Linked DNA regions of Anolis sagrei. The protein of the gene in region 1 interacts with the protein of each later gene in a pairwise test. Links are inferred from orthologs where the notes say so. Each region holds a gene or a part of one and is shown on either strand. Other genes may lie near its edges.

Region 1 (10,393 bases):
CAAAAAATCGGGTGCTCAAACAAATTTGTGAACATCCTGCGGTTCCTCCATGATGGCAACAGTCTTGGGCAGCAATGGCTCCCAAAGTGACCCATTTAAGGTGGAATCAGGCATCAAACAGGGATATGTTATTGCCCCAACGTTATTTTCAATCTTCATCGCTATGAGACTTCATCTTGTTGATTCCCACTGGAGTGGAAATCATCTATCGGACAGATGGCAAGCTATTTAACCTTAGCAGACTGAAAGCCAAAACCAAGGTTACAACAACATCTGTTATAGAACTCCAGTATGCTGATGACGATGTCGTCTGTGCACATTCAGAAGAAGACCTACAAGTCACTCTAAACACCTTCTCAGAAGCACACAAGAAGCTCGGTCTGTCATTGAACATCGAGAAAACCAAAGTGCTGTTCCAGCAGTCACCAACCAATCCCTCTCCAATGCCAGAAATACAGCTTAATGGTGTAACATTAGAAAATGTGGACCATTTCCGCTCCCTTGGCAGACACCTCTCCACAAAAGTCAACATTGACACCGAAATACACCGCCTCAGCTCTGCCAGTGCAGCATTTTTCCAAATAAAGCAGAAAGTGTTTGAGGACCAGGACATCCGTAGGGAGACTAAGCTGCTTGTTTATAAAGCTATTGTCCTCCCAACCCTGTTCTACGCCTGCGAAATGTGGACTGTCTACAGATGTCAACATTGACACTGAAATACAACACCGTCTGAGCTCTGCGAGTGCAGCATTTTGCCAAATGAAGCAGAGAGTGTTTAAGGACCACAACATCCATAGGGAGACCAAGGTGCTTGTTTATAAAGCTATTGTCCTCCCAACCCTGCTATATGCCTGCGAGACGTGGACTGTCTACAGACGTCACATGTAACTCCTGGAACGATTCCATCAGCACTGCCTCCGGAAAATCCTGCAAATCTCTTGGGAAGACAAGCGGACAAATGTCAGCGTGCTAGAAGAAGCAAAGACCACCAGCATTGAAGCGATAGTCCTCCGCCATCAACTCCGCTGGACCGGCTACATTGTCCGGATGTCTGACCACTGTCTCCCAAAGCAGTTGCTCTACTCCGAACTCAACAACGGAAAACGGAATGTCGGTGGGCAGGAAAAGAGATTTAAAGATGGGCTCAAAGCCAACCTTAAAAACTACGGCATAGACACTGAGAACTGGGAAGCCCTGGCCCTTGAGCGCTCCAGTTGGAGGTCAGCTGTGACCAGCAGTGCTGTAGAATTTGAAGAGGCACGAATGGAGGGCGAAAGAGAGAAACATGCCAAGAGAAAGGCGCGTCAAGCCAACCCCGACAGGGACCGCCTTCCACCTGGAAACCGATGCCCTCACTGCGGGAGAAGATGCAGATCAAGAATAGGGCTCCACAGTCACCTACGGACCCACCACCAGGATGCTACACTTGGAGGACCATCATCCTCGGACTACGAGGGATCGTGTAAGTAAGTAAGTAAGTGTATATGTGTGTGTGTATACATATATATGTGTGTGTGTGTGTGTGTGTGTATTTGCGTGTTTATATGTGTACATGCATATTGTGTATATGTGTGTGCTTGTGTGTGTTTGATTTTTCTCTGTATTATTTTTTTATTATATTTTTATGCTTTACTTATCCTATTGCGATGTTTACTTCATGCTTTTGTGTTATGTTGTTGTTATGTTATTGTAATCGTACTACCGGGCTTGGCCTCATGTAAGCCACCCCGAGTCCCATTCGGGGAGATGGTGGCGGGGTATAAATAAAGATGATGATGATTATTATATGCATATTTGTGTGTATATATGTGGAAATGTGTGCATGTGTATATGTATTTCGTCACTGTATTGTCGAAGGCTTTCCTGGCCGGAATCACTGGGTTGTTGTAGGTTTTTTTCGGGCTATATGACCATGTTCTAGATGCATTCTCTCCTGACATTTCGCCTGCATCTATGGCAAGCATCCTCAGAGGTAGAGATTTCGTTGGTATCTTGTCACTATCTATCACATTCAGATATTGAGGTGATCCTATGAATATTATTTCGTCACTATCCATCACATTTAGATATTGAGAGGATCCTATTAATTTCATTACTATCGATCACATTCAGATAATGAGATGATCCTATACATATTATTTAGTCACTGTTGATCACATTTAGATATTGAGAGGATCCTATTAATATTATTTCGTTACTATTGATCACAGTCAGATATTGAGATGATCCTATGAGTATTATTTTGTTACTATCAATCACATTCAGATAATGAGATGATCCAATGCATATTATTTCATCACTATCAGACACATTTAGATATTGAGAGGATCCTATTAATTTCATTACTATTGATCACATTCAGATATTGATGGGATCCTATATTATTTCGTCACTATCTTATCACATTCAGATGTTGAGATGATCCCATGCATATTATTTTGCCACTATTGATCACATTTAGATATTGAGAGGATCCTATGAATATTATTTCATTACTATTAATCACAGATATTGAGAATCATAGAATCCTAGGGTTGGAAGAGACCTCATGGGCCATCCAGTCCAACCCCATTCTGCCAAGAAGCAGGAATATTGCATTCAAATCACCCCTGACAGATGGCCATCCAGCCTCTGTTTAAAAGCTTCCAAAGAAGGAGCCTCCACCACACTCCAGGGCAGAGAGTTCCACTGCTGAACGGCTCTCACAGTCAGGAAGTTCTTCCTCATGTTCAGATGGAATCTCCTTTCTTGTAGTTTGAAGCTATTGTTCCGCGTCCTAGTCTCCAAGGAAGCAGAAAACAAGCTTGCTCCCTCCTCCCTGTGGCTTCCTCTCACATATTTATAGATGGCTATCATATCTCCTCTTAGCCTTCTCTTTTTCAGGCTAAACATGCCCAGCTCCTTAAGCCGCTCCTCATAGGGCTTGTTCTCCAGACCCTTGATCATTTTAGTCGCCCTCCTCCGGACACATCCCAGTTTGTCAATATCTGAGGTGATCCTATGAGTATTATTTCGTTCCTATCGATGACATTCAGATGAGATGATCCTGCGCATATTATTTCATCACTATCTATCACATTCAGATATTGAGGTGATCCTATGAATATTGTTTCATCACTATTGATCACATTTAGATTTTGAGAGGATCCTATTAATTTCCTTACTATCGATCACATTCAGATATTGATGTGATCCTATATTATTTTGTCACTATCTATCACATTCAGATATTGAGGAGATCCTATGCATATTATTTCATCACTACTGATCACATTTAGATATTGAGAGGATCCTATTAATTTCCTTACTATCGATCACATTCAGATATTGATGAGATCCTATATTATTTTGTCACTATCGATCACATTCAGATATTGATGAGATCCTATATTATTTCGTCACTATTGATCACATTTAGATTTTGAGAGGATCCTATTAATTTCCTTACTATCGATCACATTCAGATATTGATGAGATCCTATATTATTTCGTCACTATCGATCACATTTAGATATTGATGAGATCCTATATCATTTCGTCACTATCGATCACATTCAGATATTGATGAGATCCTATATTATTTCGTCACTATCGATCACATTCAGATATTGATGAGATCCTATATTATTTCGTCACTATCGATCACATTAAGATATTGATGAGATCCTATATTATTTCGTCACTATCGATCACATTGAGTTATTGATGAGATCCTATATTATTTCGTCACTATCGATCACATTCAGATATTGATGAGATCCTATATTATTTCGTCACTATCGATCACATTCAGATATTGATGAGATCCTATATTATTTCCTTACTATCGATCACATTCAGATATTGATGAGATCCTATATTATTTCGTCACTATTGATCACATTTAGATAATTGAGAGGATCCTATTAATTTCTTTACTATCGATCACATTCAGATATTGATGAGATCCTATATTATTTCCTTACTATCGATCACATTCAGATATTGATGAGATCCTATATTATTTCGTCACCATCTATCACATTCAGATAATGAGATGATTCTATGCATATTATTTCGTCACTATTGATCACATTTAGATATTGAGAGGATCCTATTAATTTAGTTACTATCGATCACATTCAGATATTGATGTGATATTATTTCGATATTGAGGTGATCCTATGAATATTATTTTGTCACTATCAATCACATTCAGATATTGAAAGGATCCTATGAATTTCATTACTATCGATCACATTCAGATATTGAGGTGATCCTATGAATATTATTTCATCACTATCAATCACATTTAGATATTGAGAGGATCCTATGAATATTATTTCATTACTATCAATCACATTCAGATGAGATGATCCTATGCATATTATTTCATCACTATTGATCACATTTAGATATTGAGAGGACTCTATTAATATTATTTCGTCACTATCTATCACATTCAGATATTGATGTGATCCTATATTGTTTCGTCACTATCTATCACATTTAGATATTGAGAGGATCCTATTAATTTCGTTACTATCGATCACATTCAGATATTGATGAGATCCTATATTATTTCGTCACTACTGTTCACATTCAGATAATGAGATGATCCTATTAATTTCCTTACTATCGATCACATTCAGATATTGATGAGATCCTATATTATTTCGTCACTATCGATCACATTCAGATATTGATGAGATCCTATATTATTTCGTCACTACTGTTCACATTCAGATAATGAGATGATCCTATTAATTTCGTTACTATCGATCACATTCAGATATTGATGAGATCCTATATTATTTCGTCACTACTGTTCACATTCAGATAATGAGATGATCCTATTAATTTCCTTACTATCGATCACATTCAGATATTGATGAGATCCTATATTATTTCGTCACTATCGATCACATTCAGATATTGATGAGATCCTATATTATTTCGTCACTACTGTTCACATTCAGATAATGAGATGATCCTATTAATTTCCTTACTATCGATCACATTCAGATATTGATGAGATCCTATATTATTTCGTCACTATCGATCACATTCAGATATTGATGTGATCCTATGTTATTTGTCACTATTGATCACATTTAGATATTGAGAGGATCCTATTAATATTATTTCATTACTATCCATCACATTCAGATATTGAGATGATCCTATGAATTTCATTACTATCGATCACATTCAGATATTGATGTGATATTATTTCGATATTGAGGTGATCCTATGAATATTATTTTGTCACTATTGAAATGATCTTGTAATAATAATAATAATAATAATAATCAGATATTGAAATGATCTTATAATAATAATAATAAGGATAATAATATGCTATCCATGAGGTAAAACACTACAAGCACTTTGTTTTGGCCTTTTTGCAATAACTATATTTTTTAAAATCCCCAAATCCCTTCAAATAGAGATGGAAACACAGCCCAGAATCATCAATATGAATATCCCACTCAAAGTCTTCTGAAACCCTAGAATGATAGGTTTGCCATGGAAGAGGAGAGCAGCTTGGCCTTGGGACTGAAGGGGTGCTGCTCTGGATCACAAGTTATGGCGTCACTTCCGGTTTGGCTTCCTCTCTCTCACCTCCAGAGCCCTCCTAGAGCGTCCCGATGATTGTTTTCTTTCCGGCGTGTCTCCGTCACTTCCGGTTGTGCGCCTGGCATGAAGAAGGGGCGCCCGGCCCGGAAGAGCGCCCGAAGGCCTTCCTTTCCAGGTGTGGGCCTGGGCCTAGGAGAGGCCTACTTGGGGGGCTCCCTTCTGGGTGTTTTGGACTCCAACTCCCACCATTCCTAACAGCCTCAGGCCTATTCCTTTTCCCCCTCAGCCGCTTAAGCGGCTGAGGGGGAAAAGGAGAAGGCCTGAGGCTGTTAGGAATGGTGGGAGTTGGAGTCCAAAACACCCAGAAGGGAAGGCCCCAAGTAGGCCTATGCCTTCTCTATACTCCTCTCTCTCTCTCTGTCTCTCTATATGTCCTTCTATCCATATCCATCTCCCTTTCTCTCTCTATAGATCTTTGTGTTAAGATCTACCTCTCTTTCTCTGCCTATCCATACTTATTTTTTATTTATTTACTAGCATGGGGTCTCGGGAAGTGAGTGGAGGTACTTCAAGTCCCATCGCCCATGGTCCATGCTCCTACAAACTGCACCAGGATGTAGAGAGGGTCATGGGGGCTTTGTGTGCCAAATTTGGTCTCGATCAGGCATTGGATGAGGGTCACAGCAGTTTGGGGAAGTGTGTGAAGGTACTTCAAGTCCCATCATCCATGGTCCATCCTCCTCCAAACGGCACCAGGATGTAGAATGGGTCATGAGGGCTCTGTGTGCCAAGTTTGGTCTTGATCAAGCATTGGATGAGGGTCATAGCAATGAGTGGAGGTACTTCAAGTCCCATCATCCATGGTCCATCCTCCTCCAAACTGCACCAGGATGTAGAATGGGTCATGGGGACTCTGTGCCAAGTTTGGTCTTGATCAAGCATTGGATGAGGGTCGTAGCAGTCTCAGGAAGTGAGTGAAGTACGTTTGGTCTTGATCAGGCATTGGATGAGGGTTGTAGCGGTCTCGGGAAGTGAGTGGAGGTGCTTCAAGTCCCATCATCCATGTAGAGAGGGACATGGGGGCTCTGTGTGTCGAGTTTGGTCTTGATCAAACATTGGATGAGGGTCGCAGCAGTCTCGGGAAGTGTGTGAATGTACTTCAAGTCCCATCACCCATGGTCCATCCTCCTCCAAACTGCACCAGGATGTAGAATGGGTCATGCGGGCTCTGTGTGCCGAGTTTGGTCTTGATCAAGCATTGGATGAGGGTCGTAGCAGTCTCGGGAAATGAGTGGAGGTAATTCAAGTCTCATCGTCCACGGTCCATCCTCCTCCAAACTGTACCATGATGTAGAATGAGTCAGGGGGGCTCTGTGTGCCAAGTTTGGTCTTGATCAGGCATTGGATGAGGGTCGTAGCAGTCTCAGGAAATGAGTGGAGGTGCTTCAAGTCCCATCATCCACGGTCCATCCTCCTCCAACCTGCACCAGGATGTAGAGAGGGTCATGGGGGCTCTGTGTGCCAAGTTTGGTCTTGATCAAGCATTGGATGAGGGTCGTAGCAGTCTCGGGAAGTGAGTGAAGTACGTTTGGTCTTGATCAGGCATTGCATGAGGGTTGTAGTAGTCTTGGGAAATGAGTGGAGGTAATTCAAGTCCCATCATCCATGGTCCAACCTCCTCCAAACTGCGCCAGGATGTAGATTGGGTCATGGGGGCTTTGTGTGCCAAATTTGGTCTTGATCAGGCATTGGATGAGGGTCATAGCAGTCTTGGGAAGTGAGTGAAGTACATTTGGTCTTGATCAGGCATTGCATGAGGGTCGTAGCGGTCTGGGGAAATGAGTGAAGGTGCTTCAAGTCACATCATCCATGATCCATCCTCCTCCAAACCGCAGTAGCATGTAGAATGGGTCATGAGCACTCTGTGTGACAAGTTTGATCCTTATTGGTCATTGTTGGGGGCCGCAGTGGACTGTGGGAACTCGAAGTGTTGGAAAATACTACAAATCACATCATCCATTGTCCATCCTCCCCCAAACCTCACCAGGACATAAAAGAGATCATGGGGGTTCTCTCTGCCAAGTTTGGTTTTGATCAGTTGTTGAATGAGGGTCGCAGCGGCCTTGGAAAGCGAGTGGAGGTACTTCAAGTCCCATTATCCATGGTCTGCCCTCCTCCAAACCGCAGTAGGATGTAGAGTGGATCATGGGGGCTCGGTATGCCAAGTTTGGTCTTTATCGGTCTTTGTTGGGGGCCACAGTGGTCCCTGGGAACCAAACTGTTTGAAAGTACTACAAATCACATAATCCGTGGTCCATCTCCCCCAAACCGTACCAGAACGTAAAGGGGGTCATGGGGGTTATGTGTGCCATGTTTGGTCTTTTTCAGTCATTGGATGAGGGTTGCAGCGGTCTCGGAAAGCGAGTGGAGGTACTTCAAGTCCCATCATCCATGGTCTGCCCTCCTCCAAACTGCAGTAGGATGTAGAGTGGGTCATGGGGGCTCAGTGTGCCAAGTTTGGTCTTTATCGGTCTTTGTTGGGGGCCACAGTGGTCCCTGGGAACCAAATTGTTTGAAAGTATTACAAATCCCATAATCTGTGGTCCACCTCCCAGGACGTAAAGGGGGTCATGGCGGTTATGTGTGCCAAGTTTGGTCCAGGTGCGTCACCCGTGTTGGTCACAGTGGCCAGTGAAAGTGGCAGCCGATCAGAAAGCTGCCACATACACCTTCCTATGTCCGCCCTCTACATACAGACATTCACTTTTATTAGATAGATAGATAGATAGATAGATAGATAGATAGATATAGATTTCATATCAAAAGTAATCTGTATAAGGACCAAGTAGCAACAGTCAGAACTGACCGTGGAACAACAGACTGGATCAAGATTGGGAAAGTCGTACGGCAGGGTTGTAACCTCTCCTCCAACCAATTCAACTTGTATGCAGAACACATCATGTAATATGCGGGGCTTGACGAATGCAAGGATGGGGTTAAAATTGCTGGAAGAAACATTAACATTAGATATGCAGATGACACCACTTTGATGGTTTTTTCCCCAGGCACTGCCAAGCCATCAAATGCTAATCAAGGTGGTCAGTTGAAACATTCACACCTAGCTCTGGCAAACAAGAGTCCTTTGTCCCACCCTGGTCATTCCACAGATATATAAACCCATTTTCCTACTTCCAACAGACCTCACTACCTCTGAGGATGCTTGCCATAGATGCAGGCGAAATGTCAGGAGAGAATGCCTCTAGAACATGGCCATATAGCCCGAAAAAACCTACAACAACCCAATTATAATATTGTATTATTATTAGTATTATATTATATTACATTGTTGTTGTTCATTCGTTCAGTCGTTTCTGACTCTTTGTGATCTCATGGACCAGCCCACGCCAGAGCTCCCTGTCGGCCGTCACCACCCCCAGCTCCTTCAAGGTTAATCCAGTCACTTCAAGGATCCCATCCATCCATCTTGCCCTTGGTCGGCCCCTCTTCCTTTTTCCTTCCATTTCCCCCAGCATAATTCTCTTCTCTTATAAATATTATATGTATATACAATATATTATATTATTAGTAAAGCACAGGAGACAAGATGGAACTGACTTCTGCCCCTCTGTCTCTTCTCTCTCTCTCTATATGCATCTTTCTATATCTCTCTTGCTTCCGTGTTCCCTATTATATATCTCTCTGTATTTATTTCTCTATATTTATATTCTCCTGGTTCCCTCTTATCCATCTCTTTCTATATATTTCTGTCTCTTGATTTTCTTTTTCTGTCATCTCTCTGTATGTACCTTTGTCTCAAGAGTTTTTATCTGTATTTCTCTCCGAATATTTCTCATAATAATAATAATAATAATAATAATAATAATAATAATTTTATTTCTTACCCGCCTCTCCTTTGTGGCTGGAGGCAGATTACAGAATATTCAAAACACATAAACATTGTTATACACATATTAAAATGTATTTTTAAATAAAAGATACATAGGTTGTTGTAGGTTTTTCCGGGCTATATGGCCATGTTCTGGAGGCAATTTTTCTCCTGACGTTTCGCCTGCATCTATGGCAAGCATCCTCATTACCTCTGAGGATGCTTGCCATAGATGCAGGCAAAATATCAGGAGAAAAATTGCCTCCAGAACATGGCCATATAGCCCTGAAAAACCTACAACAACCCATGGATTCCGGCCATGAAAGCCTTCGACAATACAAAAGATACATATTCTATCCATATCCATTTTCTCTCTTTGTGTATCTTTCTGTATCTCTCTCTTGTTTCCGCGTTCCCTATTATACCTCTCTGTATTTATTTCTCTGTATGCTTACCTACAAAGCCCTAAACGGTTTGGGACCCGCCTACCTGCGTGACCGCATCTCTTTTTACGAACCCACACGATCTCTTCGATCATCTGGAGAGGCCTTGCTCACAATCCCACCTGCATCGCAGGCACGATTGGTGGGGACAAGGGACAGGGCCTTCTCGGTGGTGGCCCCTCGACTCTCTCCCTAAGGACATCAGGCATGCCCCAATGCTGGCAGTTTTTAGGAGGAGCTTGAAAACATGGTTGTTCCAGCGTGCCTTCCCAGAATAAGGAAACTCCAAGCAATATGTCCCCAAATGCACTTTACTAATAATCTAGGATATCTGCACGCCCCATCCCCCTCCAAATACCTACCCTTTTCACCTGCATATTTTTAAAATTTTAATTATTACATTTGGCCCTGGCATAGATTTTAATGCATCATCGTATGTTGTTAATGTGTATTGCTTTGTTTTGAGTTCATTTATTGTTGTGTTGTTGTTTTTACTGATGTATTT
Region 2 (10,841 bases), on another chromosome or scaffold:
GTGTGCAAACGCAATTTTTTCTGCGATGTGGTAGTCTGCATATCTTGGAACACAGAATTTTCTAGGAAAAATTAGTTTGATTCCAGGTATTTACATAAAATTATAGCTGGAAATGCATGAAAGAACTAGAGAATAGAATGTCAGAGCATAAGTTGGGTGTTACATTTACATAAAATGCTATCTGGAAATACATGTTCAACAGCAAAAAAAAAGAGAGAGAGAGAGAGAGACTAAAATTCCAGACCATAAATTGGGTGTTGAAGTGCCCGGATGTTTTACCGTCCTGTGGTAGGCTTCTCTCATGTCCCTGCATGAGAAGCTGGAGCTGACAGACAGGAGCTCACCCCGCTCCCCAGATTTGAAATTCAGACCATTTGGTCAGCAGTCCTGCTGGCACAAGGGTCTAACCCATTGCACCACTGGGGGATCCTGCACTACCCGCTGAGAACCATCTCAGGGTGTGGCTCAGATGAATGGTTGATACATGTTTTTTTCTGCAGAATAAAGATTCTGTTCATTCTTAAAACATAATTTTGATCTCCTCGGGTAGGAAGTGTTTATTGTCCCATCAAAAAAAGTATAAACCTCAATTTAAAAAAGTGAAAAGCCCATGAGTACAGACTACTATTCTGTGACAAGCAACACTTGCTGAAATTTCCTCTTCTACACACCTGTTAAAGGTACAGGAGTCGAGTCCCCTCCAGTTTCCACTCCAGCAACACTACCTGTATGTGTTGTGAAAATATCCACCTGTTTGATCAGGGTATTATTTTAAAACATGTGCTTTCTCAAGAGTCAACAAATGAAGTGTCTCAAGTCTATCTTTACTCTGTTTTTTCTTTTCTTTTTGTCATGAAGAAATATGGAAGGAAACAAAGTAAATGAAGATAAAGAATTGTGGGAAGTGAAACAGAAATACATGTTACTGAACTGGGAAAGCTGAAAACACTTTTGAGTGACCCTAGGCTAGGGTTGGGTAGATTTTAAACCTGTGAGATCTAATTTGCCAGTTGCTCCAGACATGAAGAAAAGTCTCCAAAAGCCCCAGGATTGTTTCTGTACAACCTGATTTCATTTATTTTTGTACGTGATGTTTTCTCCATCCACAACTATTTCCAGAGAACTCGTGGTATTAACAAGAACTTTTCATTCCTACTCTTGGGGTCAGCTTAAATTAACCTAGTATTTCCTAGTGAATTTGCCCCTAGTAGCAAGAAATTGGTTAATTGGGGGAGTCAATATGTCCTTCAAGGCTGGTTTGCCTCCCTTGTGTGATGGTCCTATGACATACAATCAGAGGGAGGGAGAGAAGGAAGAACACAAGGTAAGGAGAAGTAAACCCAAAATATTTCAAGGAGTTTATATGCAAACCATAAAAAATGTAAATCTCAATACTTCCAGAGACATTGTTATCTAGTTAAGCCCTGCTTTTTATTAATCCGACACAGAAATCTATGTGCCAGATTCAGATGCAATATCGATAGTTTGGTGCAACGTAGTTGACAGTTAAGGGTTTGTCTGAATGCACACACTCAGACTTAAGATTTGGTGATCATTGACTGAAGCAAGTTCAAATTCTTCTTACACAAAAACTGTTCCTGTCCCCATCCCCAGATGTTGGGGGCTGCTCTCATCAACCTGATTTCAAAACAAAGTCTGTTTTGAGCAAACTAATTTCAGTGTGTGATTTTGAGTAACTCTAGTTTGACTCCAGCATTAAAGGAGCCCTGCCAGTGATTTAAAAAGCAGTGTTTCAACAAAAGACATCAAAGCCTAGGAGGCACAGCATGGTTTCCAGGAAATCAGTGTTTTAGCAAAAAGCCCTACTCGGTGGCTTTTTCTACGATTCTGGGGAGAGGAAATCCCCTTCAGTTCAGTTCTAAGATAAATGTCCAACTGGTTTCTTCAGCCATGTTACCGGGTACATGTCTTAAGAAAAAGGCAGTAATGTCATTCCCTAAATGCCACACATTGTCACACTGCCCTAATAGAGATGTTACAACTTGCTTGACCTGGCAAATCACTCACCTGATCTCCTGTCATTATGGGTATTGCCTCAATGCAGTAAGTCTGACTGTAGATTAATTTCCTCGCCTGGGAGTTATTGAAGCTTAATGTTTGAGTGATAGTGTTCTACAGCCTTGGAGCACTCCACACTGAAGAGTCACAATTATTTAGGAGTTATATTTCTGGAGATGCTTTCTAGTTTCAGCCTTTTCATTATTTCATAGAACAATATATATCTATTCTAGTTGGGGGCAAACCAAGAATGGGCAATGTGGAAATCCCTGAACAGACACAGAAGTGAAGTGGGCAGATCAAAAGACAACCTGACAAAATGGCACTACCTAAAAGAATCCTCCACCTTGTGTGACTGTGGGGCAGAACAAACAACTCCGCATCTGTATGCTTGCCCACAATGCTCTGCCTCATGCACAGAGGAAGAATTGTTTAAAGCTGCAGACAATGTGGTTGCTGTTGCCCATTTTTGGTCTAAAATTATGTAGCTGCTTGTGCTCCCTCTATTTTATCAGTTTTATACTTGTTTTATTTACGCAATGCTTTTGACATGAAATAGTCTGGGATAGAGGGTTATATAATTTGGACATCTTGACAGCAGTTTTATGTTTTCAATACTTTTGTGTGTTATGTTTAATTTGACTGAAATAAATTTGGATAGGTTCCTTTATGCACAGACCCATAGATCTTTCTTACTCTGGACCAGACAATTGATCTATTTAATTCAGTAGTTCTACCATAATGAATGGAAGTCTTCTAAAACATAAACCAATTAAGATAACATAGCAGCATTTATTATTTCATATGCATACCAAAAAAGGGAAATGCGAAAGACTGCTCAAACTTCCGTACAGTGGCCCTTATTTCTCATGCCAGCAAGGTAATGCTCAAGATCCTGCAAGGAAGACTCCAGCAATACATGGAGCGAGAGTTGCCAGATGTTCAAGCTGGGTTTAGAAAAGGCAGAGGAACGAGAGACCAAATTGCCAATATCCGCTGGATAATGGAGAAAGGCAGGGAGTTTCAGAAAAACATCTACTTCTGCTTCATTGACTATTCTAAAGCCTTTGACTGTGTGGATCATAATACATTGTGGCAAGTTCTTAGTGGGATGGGCATCCCAAGCCACCTTGTCTCTCTCCTGAGGAATCTGTACAAGGACCAAGTAGCAACAGTAAGAACTGACCATGGAACAACAGACTGGTTCAAGATTGGGAAAGGCGTACGGCAAGGCTGCATCCTCTCACCCAACCTTTTTAACTTGTATGCAGAACACATCATGCGATGTGCGGGGCTGGATGAATGCAAAGCTGGGGTGAAAATTGCTGGAAGAAACATTAACAACCTCAGATATGCAGATGACACTACTCTGATGGCCGAAAGCGAGGAGGAGCTGAGGAGCCTTCTAATCAAGGTGAAAGAAGAAAGCACAAAAGCCGGGTTGCAGCTAAACGTCAAAAAAACCAAGATTATGGCAACAAGAATGATTGACAACTGGAAAATAGAGGGAGAAACCGTGGAGGCTGTGGCAGACTTTGTATTTCTAGGTGCAAAGATTACTGCAGATGCAGACTGTGGCCAGGAAATCAGAAGACGCTTACTTCTTGGGAGGAGAGCAATGTCCAATCTCGATAAAATAGTAAAGAGTAGAGACATCACACTGGCAACAAAGATCCGCCTAGTCAAAGCCATGGTATTCCCTGTAGTCACCTACGGATGTGAGAGCTGGACCTTAGGGAAGGCTGAGCGAAGGAAGATCGATGCTTTTGAACTGTGGTGCTGGAGGAAAGTTCTGAGAGTGCCTTGGACTGCGAGAAGATCCAACCAGTCCATCCTCCAGGAAATAAAGCCCGACTGCTCACTGGAGGGAAAGATACTAGAGACAAAGTTGAAGTACTTTGGTCACATCATGAGGAGACAGGAAAGCCTAGAGAAGACAATTATGCTGGGGAAAGTGGAAGGCAAAAGGAAGAGGGGCCGACCAAGGGCAAGATGGATGGATGGCATCCTTGAAGTGACTGGACTGACCTTGAGGGAGCTGGGGGTGGTGACGGCCGACAGGGAGCTCTGGCGTGGGCTGGTCCATGAGGTCACGAAGAGTCGGAGACGACTGAACGAATGAACAACATGCATAATTACAATTTGCCAGGTAGCCTGGTATTAGGCCCATGTTGCAGTCTGGAGGAAGCAGATTAAAAGACAACAGTTTACCTAAGGTTAATTCATGTCTGGAGTAAGATTTGGGCTTGTTTGTTACTAGATGCAGCTCTATATGTTATGCAGCCACAATTCTTAGAGCATTGAGATGGCCTTCATATAGCTGAGATGGGGCAGGCTTTGAATATATATATTTGGTCATATATATTTGAACATATAGTTGGCCAGACCTCACCTGAAATAACACTGTTAATTCAAGTAGGATATTGACAAGCTGGAACATGTTCAGAGAAGGCAACCAAAATAATCAAAATTTGGAAGCCAAGCCCTGTGAGTGGCCAAGGGAGCTGGGTGAAAGGAGAAAGGAAGCTTGGAGAAAGGAAGGCTAAAAGGGGACATGGTCACCATGTTTCAATATTTCAAATGATTTCATAAGGAAGAGGGAGAAGGTTTGTTTTCTGCTACTTTGGAGGTGCTACATGGAGCAATGGATTCAAATTACAGGAAAAGAGATTCCACCTAAATCTTAGGAAGATTATAATGTATTTTTATTTTTTGGCTTTTAAGTCTCTTCCGCTATGTTTTCCAGTGTTTTTATGAGTGACGGTCACTTGTTGGGTGTGATAGGTGTATTGTGTCCAAATTTGGTGTCAATTCACCCAGTGGTTTTTGAGTTATCTTAATCCCAAAAACAAACATTAAATTTTTATTTATGTAGATCTTGATATTAGAGGTTTTTTGAGAGACTCCCTCCTGGGCACACAGAAGACTGGGCGACTTGGAAGGCGCTGAACAGACTGCGCTCTGGCACCATGAGATGCAGAGCCAACCTTAAGAAACGGGGCAAAAAAAGGGGAATCCACGACATGCGAGTGTGGAGAAGAGCAAACCAGTGACCACCTGCTGCAATGCAACCTGAGCCCTGCCACATGCACAATGGAGGATCTTCTTGTGGCAACACCAGAGGCACCCCAAGTGGCCAGATACTGGTCAAAGGACATTTAATAAACTACCAAGCTTGCAAATTTTGTATTATGTCTGTTTGTTTGCTTTGTTCTGTTAGAAATGTAATATGTAATATAATTGACTGGCTGCCCTAACACGAAATAAATACAGTACCCTAAACACGGCTGATCTCGGATTGACAGCCACAGCTTGAGGTTCAAACCATTATATCACATTTCATGATTTCCTTCCCTCTCATTTTCCTATCTACCTTTCTTTCTCCCCTTCCTCTGTTTTGGAGAGAGCATTTCCTCCCTTATTTTTTTTTTGGGGGGGGGGGGGGGGAGGGGAATAGAGAAAGGAAAGGAGATTTAAGAAGCAAGAGAGCAATGGAGAGGATTCCTACCAAGCTTGCACATTTTGTGTTTTGTCTGTTTGTTTGTTTTGTTCTGTTAGAAATGTAATACAACTGTCTGGTTGCCCCTGACACAATAAATAAATAAATGAATAAAAAAGTGCTTGACATTTGGAAGTTGTAGTTCCTGGGATTTATAGTTCACCTACAATCAAAGAACATACTGAATTCCACCAGCGATGGAATTGAACCAAACTTGGCACACAGAACTCCCATGACCAACAGAAAATACTTAACGGATTTGGTAGACATTGGTCTTGAGTTTTGGAGTTGTAGTTCACCTACATCCAGAGAGCACTGTGGACTCAAACAATGCACCAGACTTGACACAAATACTAAATATGCCCAAATGAGAACCCTGGTGGAGTTTGGGGGGAAATGGACCTTGACATTTGGGAGTTGTAGTTGCTGCGATTTATAGTTCACCTACAATCGAAGAGCATTCTTTGGGCCAAACTTCCCACAGAGAATCCCCACGACCAATAGAAAATACTGTGTTTTCTGATGCCCCCCCCCCCCCCCCCGTCCCGACTCCCAGGTTGAGAAACGCTGTTATATGGCATCGGCTCAAGAGGCACAACTCATGTCACGTTCCCTGGCACCTCTCCCTCCCGCCTTTCTGGCCCAATCTGCGTGCGCATGCGCCTTGCCTTCTTACTCGACCGAAGCCTCACCGCGCCTTGCCCTCCTCTTAATCGCCCCGCTCTTCCGCGCATGCGCCCACCCGCCCTTCTTTCTCTCTCTCTCTCCCCCTCCCTCCCCGGCCCCGCGAGTCTCGCGAGAAGCCGGGATTTATTCCTACGTGCTGTGCCGTGCTGCTCATGGCGGCGCTGGAGCGGGGGCGCTGAGCTGTTGGGGTAAGCGGGGCTCCTCGAGGGCGGGGGGCGCCTTCCCTGGCTTCGGGGGGAGGCCGGAAAGGGCGGGGGAGCTGGGTAGGCCTCCTGTCACGGCGGTCCCGGGCGCCAACGGTCCGGAGGGGCTGCTCCCCCTCCCCTTCCCCTCCCGCCGTGCGTGCGCGCTCGCTTCCCTTTTGCCCCGAGAAGGAGGGAGAGAGGAGGAGAGGGAGGCCGCGGCGGGCTGGGAGTGCTGCCTCTTTCCCCTTCGCCTCAGCCGGGGAGAGAAAGCGCTCGCAGTGGGCCCGAGCCTTGGCAGCACTACACTTCCCGGCGTGCACTGCGGGTCTTTGCCCATTGCTCTCTCCCTCCCCTCCCGCGGGGGCCGATGGGGGATGGAGTTTGGCGGCGCCGTGGTGTTGAAAGCGGCGGCGGAGTGTGCCTGCCAGGGGCCTCGCCGCTTGGCCTGCTGGGGGATGGAGTTCCGGCTCCCGCCGCCTCTCGGTGCGGAGAGAGGGGTGCGAACTCTCTCTCCCGGCATGCAGCGGGCCAATGCAGGGAGGGGAAGAGCAGGTCAATCTTCCTTTGTGTGAGGGGGAGCGGGCGCCATTTTCCTTTTTTTTTACTCACTCCCCCCAATCTTGGCCAGAGAGGGACACGCCCCAGGCCCTTGTGAGGGAGAACCGGAACGCCTTCGCCTGCAAGCCCCTCACACGGCGTCCGGAGGCCGGCGTTGTGGCGTCCCTGCGCGCCGAGCCCGGGCTTCGGCGTCCCTTTCCCTCCGATGCGGACCCCCACCCTGATTTCCCCTCAGCAGGAGCAGGAGCCACCATCTTGCTGCCCAAGGACCATGTGCCTCGGCGCTTGACAGTGTGATGCTGCATTTTGCGGGGCGAAATGGCCACTCCAGGCCTAACGAGTAGAGACGGAGACAGGGCCACTCTGGTCACTGGAAACCTTTAGATTTAACCTCCAGAGAAGCCGGCGGTAGCCCTTTCAAATCGCAGAAGGCTTTCTTGAGACTGGTGACAAGTAAAACAATGTAAATTAAACAGGATTGTCATATTTTTATGCATACTGCAGGCATGGGCCAACTTGGGCTACCAATATTAAAAAAAAACCTCTAAAATTACAACAACAAAACAATAGAGAGGAAACAAAAAAGGACATCTAATCACCTCTCGACAAAAGATTGCCCCAGGCACTACCAGGCCATCAAATGCTAATCAAGGTGGTCAGTTGAAACATTCACACCTAGCTCCAACAGACAAGAGTTCTTTGTCCCACCCTAGTCATTCCACAGATATATAAACCCATTTTCCTAGCTCCAACAGACCTCACTACCTCTGAGGATGCTTGCCATAGATGCAGGCGAAACGTCAGGAGAGAATGCCTCTAGAACATAGTCACATAGCCCGAAAAAACCTACAACAACCCAACTTGGACTTTCCCTCCAGAGGTTTCTCATTACATTTGTGTGACATACTAACATGTCGCAACAGAGTTTTGATATCCCTGCTGTATAGGCTACTATAAATTAAAAACAAAAGTAAAATGAAGGCTTTGCTACATATTGAAACCCATATGAAACTTTTGCCCCACTCTGTAGAGCAGGCATGGGCCAACTTGGGCTTTCCCTCCAGGTGTTTTGGACGTCAACTCCCAACATTCCTAACAGCCTTAGGCCTTTTTCTCTCCCCCAGCCACTTAAGCTTAAGGAAGGGGCCTGAGGCTGTTAGGAATTGTGGGAGTTGAAGTCCAAAACACCTGGAGGGAAGGCCCAAGTTGGCACATGCCTGCACTATTGAACGTGCCAAAAGTTACATGTGGGTTTCAATATGTAGCAATGCCTTCATTTTTGTTTTATTTTTAATTTATAATACCATATACAGCAGAGATATCAAAACTGTCTGTTGCGACATGTTAGTATGTCACATGAATGTAATGAGAAACCTCTGGAGTCTATGTGAAATAAGCAATAAATCATATATATTTTAGAAATACAAATTAAAGATATGTCCCCATAACGGTTCGTTATTCCAGTTTTTGTGTGTCTTTATATTTCTTGGGGCCCTTCCAGACAGGCCCAATATTCCAGAATCACATCCCAGATTTTTTGCTTTCTAGATTATATGAGTCTGCACTGTCAGATAATCTGGTATAAACAGAAAACTTAGGATCAGATCCTGGAAGGGCCCTTGGTTTTACATCTGGTTTGCTAGTAAAACTGAATTATTGTGTTGCAAAATGATGCATGTTTGGAACATGTATCACAAATATTAAATGTTTGGAAAGCTCTGATACATATAGGAAATAAATTACATTGTGTGAAAAATTCTCTTAAAAACATTTTCATAAAGTAAACATCAGATACCTTTGTGACCTTTGACCCACCTTGTACAACTATTTGGATACAGTATGCTCCTTAAAATACTAAAATATATATTTTAAACCATTGGTTGATGAGCCTTGTATTTGTCTGGTTTGACCCATGCCCATTTGTAATTAATTTGCTTGTTTGGTCTAGAATGGCAAAGAAGTCTACTTCTGTCTTTTACTAAACCATTATTCTTGTTTGAATTAAACCCCTGTTTTATAACTTATACTGGAACTTCGACTGAATTCAGTTGTTCTAAATTTTGTCCATTATTAGAATATTTTAGTGTGATCTTTTGAGAAACTATTCAGAGAAATTTCCAGTTCAGAGAAGTTGGACTTACAAAAAAATAAATACCAAATTATTTTTATTACCAGCTCCACTTTTGTTATGTATTGTTATCTCTGGCTATTAATTCCCTATATCTCCTGATAGTAATTACCTATGTCATTCAGCTAATTTTAGGGTGCTAGCCTATATTCAAATTAATTTGGATAAAAACCTTTAGTAGGTGTCTATATAAATACCATGCTATTGTTCATGGATCGTGTCAATGCCTCCGTTCTTTATGTAGCTACCATTTATTAAACCAGATTTTCAGACATAAACAAAAATTGTGAGACATGAAGCAGAACAAACTAAAAAACACTACTAAGTCATTAGGGGAAAATTACAACTGAACATTCTCCTTACTGTGTTTGACTTGAGCTAATCCTTTGTGAATCCATGTGTTGAGACTGCTGCATTGAAAGCTCAGCAGCTGCACTGGGTGTTTACTGTTGGGAGGAGTATTTATAGCAGCTGAGATGAAAAGTAAAGAATTTAGACCACAGGCGTACACAGTACTGATTTTATTGAAAATATGCCTAAGGCTCTTTCACAACCACATGATTCTACCATCTTATATAGGAAATGTGTGCATATAAACTGATTTATGCTGTCACAGTGCTCAGCATTTCTTGAACTATATTTGTATGCCTCTGTTTCCAAGCATATATGCATATTTAATGAAATGGCCACTAGTTCCAAGCAATCCACATGTTTTGAGTAAATTGAGTTGTGTATGTTTGATTAATTTCATAATTAAAATCTGATCAGTTTTCTTACAGAAATGCTTAAAACAGTCTCTTATTGTAGATTCCTACCCATCATAATCTTATTGGCTTGTTTTGATGTCAAAAACATTCAATTTTTAAAAACGAAATTGCTTGTGCTTTTCTTATGGGTTTTAACTATGCCACTAGTACTAAGTGGTACAGGAAAACACTTTTTAGTGAGAGATGTCATTCCCTAAAGTATAAAATAGGCTAAGGAAAATAAAATAAATATGGAAACAAATGTTTAAAAAACTAGAATACAGTGCTGTTCTCCCTCCCTAGTGTTCTGTAGCTTTTGATTCTGGGTGTACCTATTTCCGTAACAGATCCATAAGTAACTCCTTCCTTTATGGCAAATGCCTCAGCTGTTGCTCAACATCATCCATTCTGCATTCCATGACCAGTGAAAGTTGGGTGTTGGGAAAATTCCATCTGGAGTCAGGTTCATCTGTTCTTCACTACATCTTGAGCATCAGATACAGGAAGGAAACAGGCACCCCCTTGCTCCTAAGAGGAGGCCTGAATGAAATGCTATTGAAGCAATACCCAAAGGAGGACTACACACTTTCCAGGTTTTAAGGGGAGGGACGAGTTCCTTGCGCCTTGCAAAACCACATTTTATATTGCTCCCTGGCCCTAAAAATTGTTTGGTGACCATCTCAGAAGCCTTCAAGGGATGTGAGCGGCCATTTCAGACTACTATCTCTGGCTTGTTTCAGGCCAATGGAAATCTTTTTTAAAAAACTAAGAAAGCATGTATAATTTTGAAAGAAGGCCCAAGGCAAGCCCATTGGAGGTCATAAGGGCTATTTAAATGCTTTGGAGTCTTCTGGGAGCACAATTTTTCAGTTTTAGAATCCCCCAAAATAGGGCTATGGTCACAGTGACCTTGGACCCATATTTTGGCATGCAAATACCCTAAAGGAATGTTAGTAGCATATGGAAGATACTGTTCATTTTTGATGCACAGGATTTGGACACAAGTTTAAATATACAAG
Region 3 (10,598 bases), on another chromosome or scaffold:
GGGTGGCCCTCTGTCGGGAGGGATCAGATGGTGTTTTCCAACTTTAGAATACTATTATTATGATGATTATTAAGTGGAGCCTGGGTGGCCCTCTGTCAGGAGGGATCAAATGGTGTCTTCCAACCCCAGGATACTATTATTATTATTATTATTATTATCCTGAGTGATAATAATAATAATAATAATAATAATGGGTGACCCTCTGTCGGGAGAGATTGGATGGTGTCTTCCAACTCTAGGATGCTGTTATTATTGTGAATTTTAAGTAGAGGTTGGGTGGTTGAGTTCAGATAGTGTCTTCCAACCCCAGGATGCTATTATTATCATGATTATTGAGTATAGGCTGGGTGACCCTCTGTCGGGAGGGATCAGATGGTGTCTTCCAACTCTAGGATACTATTATTCTCATTATTATTGAGTATAGTCTAGATGGCCCTCTGTTGGGAGGGATCAGATGGTGTCTCCCAACTCTAGGATGCTATTATTATGATTATGATTAAGTGGAGTCTGGATGGCCCTCTGTCAGGAGGGATCAGATGGTGTCTTCCAACTCCAGGATACTATTATTATGATTATTATTAAGTGGAGGGTGGGTGGCCCTCTGTCAGGAGGGATCAGATGGTGTCTTCCAACTCTAGGATACTATTATTATGATTATTATTAAGTGGAGGGTGGATGGCCCTCTGTCGGGAGGGATCAGATGGTGTCTCCCAACTCTAGGATACTATTGTTATGATTATTATTAAGTAGAAGGTGGGTGACCCTCTGTCGGGAGTGATCAGATGGTGTCTTCCAACTCTAGGATACTATTATTATGATTACTATTATTAAGTGGAGCCTGGGTGTCCCTCTGTCTGGTGTCCACGTGTGGGGGTTGGACTAGATGCCCTTTGGGGTTCCCTTCCAAGCCCAAAGACTGACCTTCCTCCTCTCCTTGAGGTGTGCCAGGAGTCCCTGGGTGCCTCCCACGCGCCTCTCCTGCTCGGGCCTGGCGATCTCCCAGAAGAAGTCCAGGAACTCCCGGCTTTGGCCCAAGAGCCTCTCGCCCGCCGAAGAAGAAGCCTCCGCGCCGCCATTGCTCTCCATGCTTGGGAAAAGGAACCGGATGTCAATTCCCGCCTCACGCGCATGCGTATCCGCACCCACTTCCAGGGCAACATCCGGCTCTCGGCTGCCACCGCTCGGAATCGCTTGGTATTGCATGCGGGGAGGTCATTTTGTACTACGATTCCCAGAATTCTTTCCTATGGACAGCCTAGGTAGGGAATCCTGGGAGTTGAAGTTCCTCCAAGCTGGAGTTCTCCTCTACCCAATCCTTTCTTTCCCCATAGAATATTAGAGTTGGAAGAGACCTCCTACGCCATCCAGTCTAACCACATTCCACCAAGACCTCCCAACTAAGGATTCCCCCAGGCATTCACCACCAAGAAGGAGGAAAACCTCCCAACAAAGGATTCCCCCAGGAATTCACCATAAAGAAGCAGGAAAACCTCCCAACAAAGGATTCCCCCAGGCATTCACCACCAAGAAGGAGGAAAACCTCCCAACAAAGGATTCCCCCAAGCATTCACCACCAAGAAGGAGGAAAACCTCCCAACAAAGGATTCCCCCAGGCATTCACCACCAAGAAGCAGGAAAACCTCCCAACAAGGGATTCCCCTAGGCATTCACCACCAAGAAGGAGGAAAACCTCCCAAGAAAGGATTACCCCAGGCATTCACCACCAAAAAGGAGGAAAACCTCCCAACAAAGGATTCCCCCAGACATTCACCACCAAGAAGCAGGAAAACCTCCCAACAAAGGATGCCCCCAGGCATTCACCACCAAGAAGGAGGAAAACCTCCCAACAAAGGATTCCCCCGGGCATTCACCACCAAGAAGCAGGAAAACCTCCCAACAAAGGATTCCCCCAGGCATTCACCACCAAGAAGGAGGAAAACCTCCCAACTAAGGATTCCCCCAGGCATTCACCACCAAGGAGGAAGAAAACCTCCCAACAAAGGATTCCCCCAGGCATTCACCACCAAGAAGGAGGAAAACCTCCCAACAAAGGATTCCCCCAGGCATTCACCACCAAGAAGCAGGAAAACCTCCCAACAAAGGATTCCCCCAAGCATTCACCACCAAGAAGTAGGAAAACCCAGGAATTCACCATCAAGAAGCATTAAAACCTCCCAACAAAGGATTCCTCCGGGCAGTAAGAAGCCAGGCCTTGTAACTGAAAGGGCATTCACCACCAAGAAGCAGGAAAATCTCCCAATAAAGGATTCCCCCAGGCAGTAAGAAGCCAGGCCTTGAAACTGCAGGACCATTCACCACCAAGAAGCAGGAAAACCTCCCAACAAAGTATTCCCCCAGGCAGTAAGAAGCCAGGGCAGGAAACTGCAAAGCCATTCATCAAGAAGCAAGAAAAGCCCCAACAAAGGATTCCCCCAGGCAGAAAGAAGCCAGGACTTCAAACTGCAAGGTCATTCAACACCAAGAAGCAGGAAAACCTCCCAACAAAGTATTCCCCCAGGCAGTAAGAAGCCAGGCCCTGAAACTGCAAGGGTATTCACCACCAAGAAGCTGGAAAAGCCCCAACAAAGAATTCCCCCAGGCAGTAAGAAGCCAGGGCAGGAAACTGCAAAGCCATTCATCAAGAAGCAAGAAAAGCCCCAACAAAGGATTCCCCCAGGCAGTAAGAAGCCAGGGCAGGAAACTGCAAAGCCATTAATCAAGAAGCAAGAAAAGCCCCAACAAAGGATTCCCCCAGGCAGTAAGAAGCCAGGCCCTGAAACTGCAAGGGTATTCATCACCAAGAAGCAGGAAAAATTCCCAACAAAGGATTCCTCCAGGCAGTAAGAAGCCAGGCCTGGAAACCGCAAGGGCATTCACCACCAAGAAGCAAAAAACCTCCCAACAAAGGATTCCCCCAGGCATTCACCACCAAGAATCAGGAAAACCTCCCAACAAAGGATTCCCCAGGCAGTAAGAAGCCAGGCCTTGAAACTGCAAGGGTATTCACCACCAAGAAGCATTAAAACCTCCCAACAAAGGATTCCGCCAAGTCCTGAAACTGCAAGGCCATTCACCACCAAGAAGCAGGAAAACCTCCCTACGAAGGATTCCCCCGGGCAGTAAGAAGTCAGGCCTTGAACCCACAAGGGCATTCACCACCAAGAAGCATTAAAACCTCCCAACAAAGGATTCCGCCAAGCCTTGAAACTGCAGGGCCACTCACCACCAAGAAGCATTAAAACCTTCCAACAAAGGATTCCTCCAGGCAGTAAGAAGCCAGGCCTTGAAACTGCAAGGGTATTCACCACCAAGAAGCAGGAAAACCTCCCAACAAAGGATTCCCCAAAGCAGTAAGAAGCCAGGAATTGAAACTGTATGGCTATTCACCACCAAGAAGCAGGAACACCTCCCAACAAAGGATTCCCCAAAGCAGTAAGAAGCCAGGAATTGAAACTGTATGGCTATTCACCACCAAGAAGCAGGAACACCTCCCAACAAAGGATTCCCCCAGGCAGTAAGAAGCCAGGCCTTGAAACCGCAAGGCCATTCACCACCAAGCAGCAGGAAAAGCCCCAACAAAGGAATCCCCCAGGCAGTAAGAAGCCAGGCCTTGAAACTGCAAGGGTATTCACCACCAAGAAGCAGGAAAACCTCCCAACAAAGGATTCCACCAAGCCTTGAAACTGCAGGGCCACTCACCACCAAGAAGCAGGAAAACCTCCCAACAAAGGATTCCCCCAGGCAGTAAGAAGCCAGGCCTTGAAACTGCAAGGCCACTCACCACCAAGAAGCAGGAAAACCTCCCAACAAAGGATTCCTCCAGGCAGTAAGAAGCCAGGCCTTGAAACCGCAAGGGCATTCACCACCAAGAAGCAGGAAAACCTCCCAACAAAGGATTCCCCCAGGCAGTAAGAAGCCAAGCCTGGAAACTGCAAGGCCATTAACCACCTAGAAGCAGGAAAACCTCCCAATAAAGGATTCCCCCAGGCAGTAAGAAGCTAGGCCTTGAAACCGCAAGGCCATTCACCACCAAAAGCAGGAAAACCTCCCAACAAAGGATTCCTCCAGGCAGTAAGAAACCAGGCCTTGAAACTGCAAGGGCATTCACCAGCCTGGTAAACCCACAACAACCTTGCATTCAAAGCACCCCTGACAGATGGCCATGCAGCCTGTTTCAAATCTTCAAAGCATCCCCAACAGATGGCCATCCAGCCTCTGTTTCAAATCCTCAAATTTATTTATTTATTTACGACATTTATATGGGCCAGCTAACACTTCCGACAAAGGATTCCCCTGATCATAATTAATACTAACAGTGTGCCAAGCTAATAATATAATATATTGTATACACATATTATATTGATCATAATGTTATTATATAATACAATATAAAGCAATATAATAATATCATAACTGTAAAATACATGTAATATTACCAATAAGATTGCACTATAGGACAATATACTAATATATAATACTAATATATTACTAATATTGCTAATATTAGTAATATAATACTAATTATAATGTAATACAACATAATACTAGTAATAATAATTCAATATTATAATTATAATTATATACTTACATTACATGTAATATTAGTAATAATATTACAATATAATGGTATAGTGCAATATAGTAGTATATACTGATACTCTACTATGCTAATAATATAATATATTGTATGAAAATATATATTGTAAGCCGCTCTGAGTCCCCTTCGGGGTGAGAAGGGCGGCATATAAATGCCATAAATAAATAAATAAATAAATAATAGTGTGCTATACTAACACCTCCCAACAAAGGATTCCCCCAGGCAGGAAGAAGCCAGGCTTTGAAGCTGCAAGGCTTTGCAATGGTAATCAAGCTAGCCAATGGTAACAGTCATACTTGCCTCCAACGGACAAGAGTTCTTTCTCCCACCCTGGACATCATTCCACAGGAATATACTCACTCGCGTAGTTTCCAACAGACCCCTCAACCTCTGAGGATGCCTGCCTTAGATGTGGGCGAAAGGTCAGAAGATAATGCTTCTGGAACATGATCAGACAGCCCAGAAAACTCACAACAACCTTGCATTCAAAGCACCCCTGACAGAGGGCCATCCATCTATAGTAATATAGTAATATATAATACTAATAGTGTGCTATACTAACACCTCCCAACAAAGGATTCCCCCAGGAAGGAAGAAGCCAGGCTTTGAAGCTGCAAGGCTTTGCAGTGGTGATCAAGCTGGCCAATGGCAACATTCACACTTGTTTATATATCTGGATGTTCACAGAGATATCAACTCCATTTGACTAGTTTCGAACAGACTCACAACCTCTGAGGATGCCTGCCTTAGATGTGGGCGAAACGTCAGGAGAGAATGCTTCTGGAACATGGGCAGACAGCCCAGAAAACTCACAACCTTGAATTCAAAGCACCCCTGACAGATGGCCATCCATCTATAGTAATATAGTAATATATAATACTAATAGTGTGCTATACTAACACCTCCCAACAAAGGATTCCCCCAGGAAGGAAGAAGCCAGGCTTTGAAGCTGCAAGGCTTTGCAGTGGTGATCAGGCTGGCCAATGGCAACAGTCACACTTGCCTCCGACAGACAAGAGTTCTTTCTCCCACCCTGGACATCATTCCACGGGGATATACTCCTCACTTGCCTTAATATAAGACATTAAATTATAATATAACTTTAGTAGTAGTAGTAGTATAATGTATTACATTAGCCAAGTGGGCTTTACATATCTGGAGATTCCACCTGCACACATTAGGAAGAACTTCCTAACAGTGAGAGCTGTTCAGCAGTGGAACTCTCTGCCCTGGGAGTGTGAGGGAGGCTCCTTTCTTTGAAGATTTGAAATCCAACAGACCTCACAACCTCTGAGGGTGCCTGCACCTCACTTGCCTAGTTTCCAACAGATCCCTCAACCTCTGAGGATGCCTGCCTTAGATGTGGGTGAGACGTCAGGAGAGAATGCTTCTGCATACAGAATGGGAAAACACACTGCTTTTTTTTTTGGAGACAGGCACGCCGCGGGCAGCCCCAAGTTGGGTCCGACTGCGCAGGCGCGAGGGGTAGCTTCGCTTCAGGCAGCGCGGCGGGCAGCCCTGGGCTCGTGGCCCGCTATATAAGCGTGCGCGGGGTCCTGCGGCGCTCGCTCGCGCTCGGGGAGGCTGAGGCGACGGAAGGAGGAGGAGCAGCAGCAGCAGCCATGGCGGATTTCGACTCCTACGACGACCGGGCCTACAGCAGCTTCGGAGGCGGGCGCGGGTGAGCCAGGGCGGACTCTCTCTTCCGAGGCAGAGGGGGAGGCGCCTCGGGCGGGCAGGCCTCCACGCGAGAGCCGGGATTGTGATGCTGGAGGCCTCACCCACACACAAGGCCTTCGGGCCTGCTCGCCTCAAGGCCAGCCTTTGCCGTGGGAATGGACGCCTTTGGGCACGCCTCCCCGTTCTTGGGGTGGCTCCCTGGGCCCTCCCACACAGACAGAGCACAAGCTAGAGACACACAAATGTCACCTTCCTTTATGGGAGGAACACAACTCACAAACCACTGGGGGAATTGACACCACATTTGGACACAAGGTACCTCACAACCCCATGCATCTCCTTCCCTCCAAAAGACACAGAAAAACATAACAGAATGGACTTAAAAAGCCAAAATAAAACACCCCAAATTTACAATGCGTGTGCAAAACCACACATATATATACACAAACACACACATATGCAAACACATACACAGAAAGGGGGAAGGAAGGAGGGAAAGAAGGAGAGAAGGAAGGGTAGAGAAAGAAGAAAGGAGAGAAGGAGGGAAATAAAGAGGGAAATAAAGAAGGAGGGAAGGAGAGAAAGAGGGAAAGAAGGAGGGAAGGAGAGAAAGAAAGGAAAATAGAGAAGGAAGGAAGGAGAGAAAGAGGGAAATAAATAGGGAAAGAAGAAAAAGAAGGAAGATAGTGAAGAAGGGAGGGAAGGTTTGCCACAGCAACGCATGGCAGGTACAGCTAGTCTATAGAAATAAAAATGTCCCATTCATTTGTGGGATTAACACAACTCAAAAACCACTGGGGGAATTGACACCACATTTGGACACAAGGCACCTAACAACCCAATGTATGTCCTTCACTAAAAAAAAAACACACACACACAGAAAAACATAGCAGAAGGGACTTAAAAAGCCAAAACAAAACACCCCAAAAATTACACTGCATGTGCAAAACCACATATATATATACACAAACACACAACTCAAAAACCATTGGGGGAATTGACACCACATTTGGACACAAGACACCTCACAACCCCATGTATGACGCCTTTGGGCACGCCTTCCCGTTCTTGGGGTGGCTCCCTGGGCCCTCCCACACAGACAGAGCACCATCTAGAGACACACAAATGTCACCTTCCATTGTGGGGTGAACACAACTCACAAACCACTGGGGGAATTGACACCACATTTGGACACAAGACACCTAACAGTCCAATGCAGGTCCTTCACTCAAAAAGACACAGAAAAACATATCAGAAGGGACTTAGAAAGCCAAAACAAAACACCCCAAAATCACAACGCATGTGCAAAACCACATATAGATACACAAACACAATGCATGTGCAAAACCATATATATACACACACACACAAACACACATATATGCATATACACACAAAATACATACACAGAAAGGGGGAGGGAAGGAAGGAAAGAAAGAAGGAGGGAGAGAAAGAGGGAAATACAAATGTCTTGTTCGTTTGTGGGATGAACACAACTCAACCACTGGGGGGATTGACACCACATTTGGACACAAGGCACCCAACAGTCCAATGTATGTCCTTCACTCAAAAAGACACAGAAATTACACCCCAAAATTATAACGCATGTGTAAAACCACATATATATATATATATATATATATATACACACAAACACACATATATATACACACATATATGCATATACACACACAAAACACATACACAGAAAGGGGGAAGGAAGGAGGGAAAGAAGGAGAGAAGGAAGGAAAGAAAGGCTAGAGAAAGAAGAAAGGAGAGAAAGAGGGAAAGAAGGAAAGAAAGGAAGATAGAGAAGTAAGGAAAGAGAGAAAGAGGGAAAGAAAGAAGGGTAGAGAAGGAAGGAAGGGGAGAGGAGGGAGAGAAAGAGGGAAAGAAGGAGAGAAAGAAAGGAAGATAGAGAAGGAAGGAAAGAGAGGAGGAGGGAAAGAAGGAGGGAAGGAGAGAAAGGAAGGAAGGAGGGAGAGAAAGAGGGAAATAAATAGGGAAAGAAGGAAAGAAAGGAAGATAGTGGAGGAGGGAGGGAAGGTTTGCCACAGCAACGCATGGCAGGTACAGCTAGTCTATAGAAATAAAAATGTCACATTCGTTTGTGGGATTAACAGAACTCAAAAACCACTGGGTGAATTGACACCACATTTGGGCACAAGGCACCTAACAACCCAATGGATGCCCTTCACTCATAAAAACACTAGAAAACATAGCAGAAAAGACTTAAAAAGCCAAAATAAAACACCCCAAAATTACAACGCATGTGCAAAACCATATATATACATACACACACAAACACACATATATGCATATACACACACAAAACATACACAGAAAGGGGGAAAGGAAGGAAAGAAAGAAGGGTAGAGAAAGAAGAAAGGAAAAGAAGGAGGGAAGGAGAGAAGAAGGAAAGAAAGGAAGATAGAGAAGGAAGGAAAGAGAGGAGGAGCGGAAGGACAGAAGGAAATAAAAAAGTGGAAGGAGAGAAGGAACAAAAGAGAGAAGGAGGGAAGGAAAGAAAGAGAGGAGGAAGGATGAAACCAAACAGCAAAGGAAGCGAGGAAAGAAACAGGTAGAGAAGGAAGAAAAAAGAAGAAAAAGAGGGAAGGAAGGAGAGAAAGAAAGAATGAGGAGAAAGAGGGAGGGAAGGTTTGCCACAGCAACGCGTGGTGGGTACAGCTAGTCTATAGAAATAAAAATGTCACGTTCTTTTATGGGATTAACAGAACTCAAAAACCACTGGGCGAATTGACACCAAATTTGGACACAAGACACCTAACAACCCAATGTATGTCCTTCACTCAAAAAAACACTGAAAAACACAGCAGAAGGACAATATAGTAATATATAATACTAATAGTGTGCTATACTAACACCTCCCAAAAAAGGATTCCCCCAGGAAGGAAGAAGCCAAGCTTTGAAGCTGCAAGGCCAATGGCAACAGTCACACTTGCCTTCAACAGACAAGAGTTCTTTCTCCCACCATGGACATCATTCCATGGTGGGAGAAAAAAGCCAAAACAAAACACCCAAAAATTACAATGCATGTGAAAAACCTCATATATATATACACATACACACACACATATTTCCATATGCACACACAAAACACATACACAGAAAGGGGGAAGGAAGGAGGGAAAGAAAGAAAGGTAGAGAAAGAAGGAAGGAGAGAAAAAGGGAGAGAAAGAGGGAAAGAAGGAAAGAAAGGAAGATTGAGAAGGAAGGAGGGAGAGAAATAGGGAAAGAAGGAGGGAAGGAAAGAAAGGGTAGAGAAGGAAGGAAGGGGAGAGGAAGGGAGGGAAAGAAAGGAAGGTAGAGAAGGAAGGAGAGAAGGAAAGAAAGAAGGGTAGAGAAGGAAGAAAGGAGAGAGGAGGGAGAGAAAGAAGGAAAGAAAGGAAGATAGAGAAGGAAGGAAAGAGAAGGAAAGAAAGGAAGATAGAGAAGGAAGGAAAGAGAGAAGGAAAGAAAGGAAGATAGAGAAGGAAGGAAAGAGAGAAGGAAATAAAAAAGTGAGAGAAGGAACGAAAGAAGGAAGGAAGGAAAGAGACAAGGAAGGATGAAACCAAACAGCAAAGGAAGCAAGAAAAGAAACGGGTAGAGAAGGAAGGAAGAAGAGAAAGAAAGAAGGAGGAGAAAGGGAGGGAAGGTAGGCCACAGCAACACGTGGCAGGTACAGTTAGTCTATAGAAATAAAAATGTAATGTTCGTTTGTGGGATTAACACAACTCAAAAACCTCTAGGCGAATCGACACCAAATTTGGACACAAGTTACCTAACAACCCAATATATGTCCTTCACTAAAAAAAAATGATTTTGTTATTTGGGAGTTGTAGTTGCTGGGATTTATCGTTCACCTACAATCAAAGAGCATTCTGAACCCCCACCAACAATGGAATTGAACCAATCTTGGCACACAGATCTCCCATGAGCAACAGAAAATACTGGCAGGGTCCTTTGGTTTTGGAGTTGTAGTTCATCTACATCCAGAGATCACTGTGGACTCAAACAATGATGGATCTGGACCAAAATCTACACGAATACTCAATATGCCCAAATGTGAACACTGGTAGACTTTGGGGAAAATAAATACCAGTTGTAGTTGCTGGTATTTATAGTTCACCTACTATCACAGAGCATTCTGAACTCCACCAATGATAGAATTGGGCTGAACCTCCCACACAGAACCCCCATGTGGGCCACAGCAACACGTGGCAGGGGACGGGTAGTAAATAATAAAAATGTAATGTTCGTTTGTGGGATTAACAAACTCAAAAACCACTGGGGGAATTGACACCAAATTTGGACACAA

Evidence for each region.
Region 2: the proteins of C12H11orf68 (region 1) and CSDE1 interact in a two-hybrid assay, tested with the Homo sapiens proteins (2 studies listed by BioGRID and IntAct). The link is inferred for Anolis sagrei from reciprocal best matches to the Homo sapiens genes C11orf68 and CSDE1.
Region 3: the proteins of C12H11orf68 (region 1) and EIF4H interact in binary tests that used the Homo sapiens proteins (3 or more experiments, as listed by UniProt). The two-hybrid records come from large-scale screens. The link is inferred for Anolis sagrei from reciprocal best matches to the Homo sapiens genes C11orf68 and EIF4H.

Annotation. Positions count from the first base shown.
Region 1 is NC_090032.1:9,784,412-9,794,804, forward strand, and holds the start of C12H11orf68 (UPF0696 protein C11orf68 homolog), read left to right. Parts: upstream 1-5,622; 5' UTR 5,623-5,630; coding exon 5,631-5,734; intron 5,735-10,393.
Region 2 is NC_090024.1:203,340,997-203,351,837, reverse strand, and holds the start of CSDE1 (cold shock domain-containing protein E1), read left to right. Parts: upstream 1-6,284; 5' UTR 6,285-6,393; intron 6,394-10,841. UniProt on the Homo sapiens protein: RNA-binding protein involved in translationally coupled mRNA turnover.
Region 3 is NC_090031.1:32,717,774-32,728,371, forward strand, and holds the start of EIF4H (eukaryotic translation initiation factor 4H), read left to right. Parts: upstream 1-6,150; 5' UTR 6,151-6,219; coding exon 6,220-6,278; intron 6,279-10,598. Other genes in the region: MYBBP1A (myb-binding protein 1A), read right to left, coding at 922-1,086. UniProt on the Homo sapiens protein: Stimulates the RNA helicase activity of EIF4A in the translation initiation complex. Binds weakly mRNA.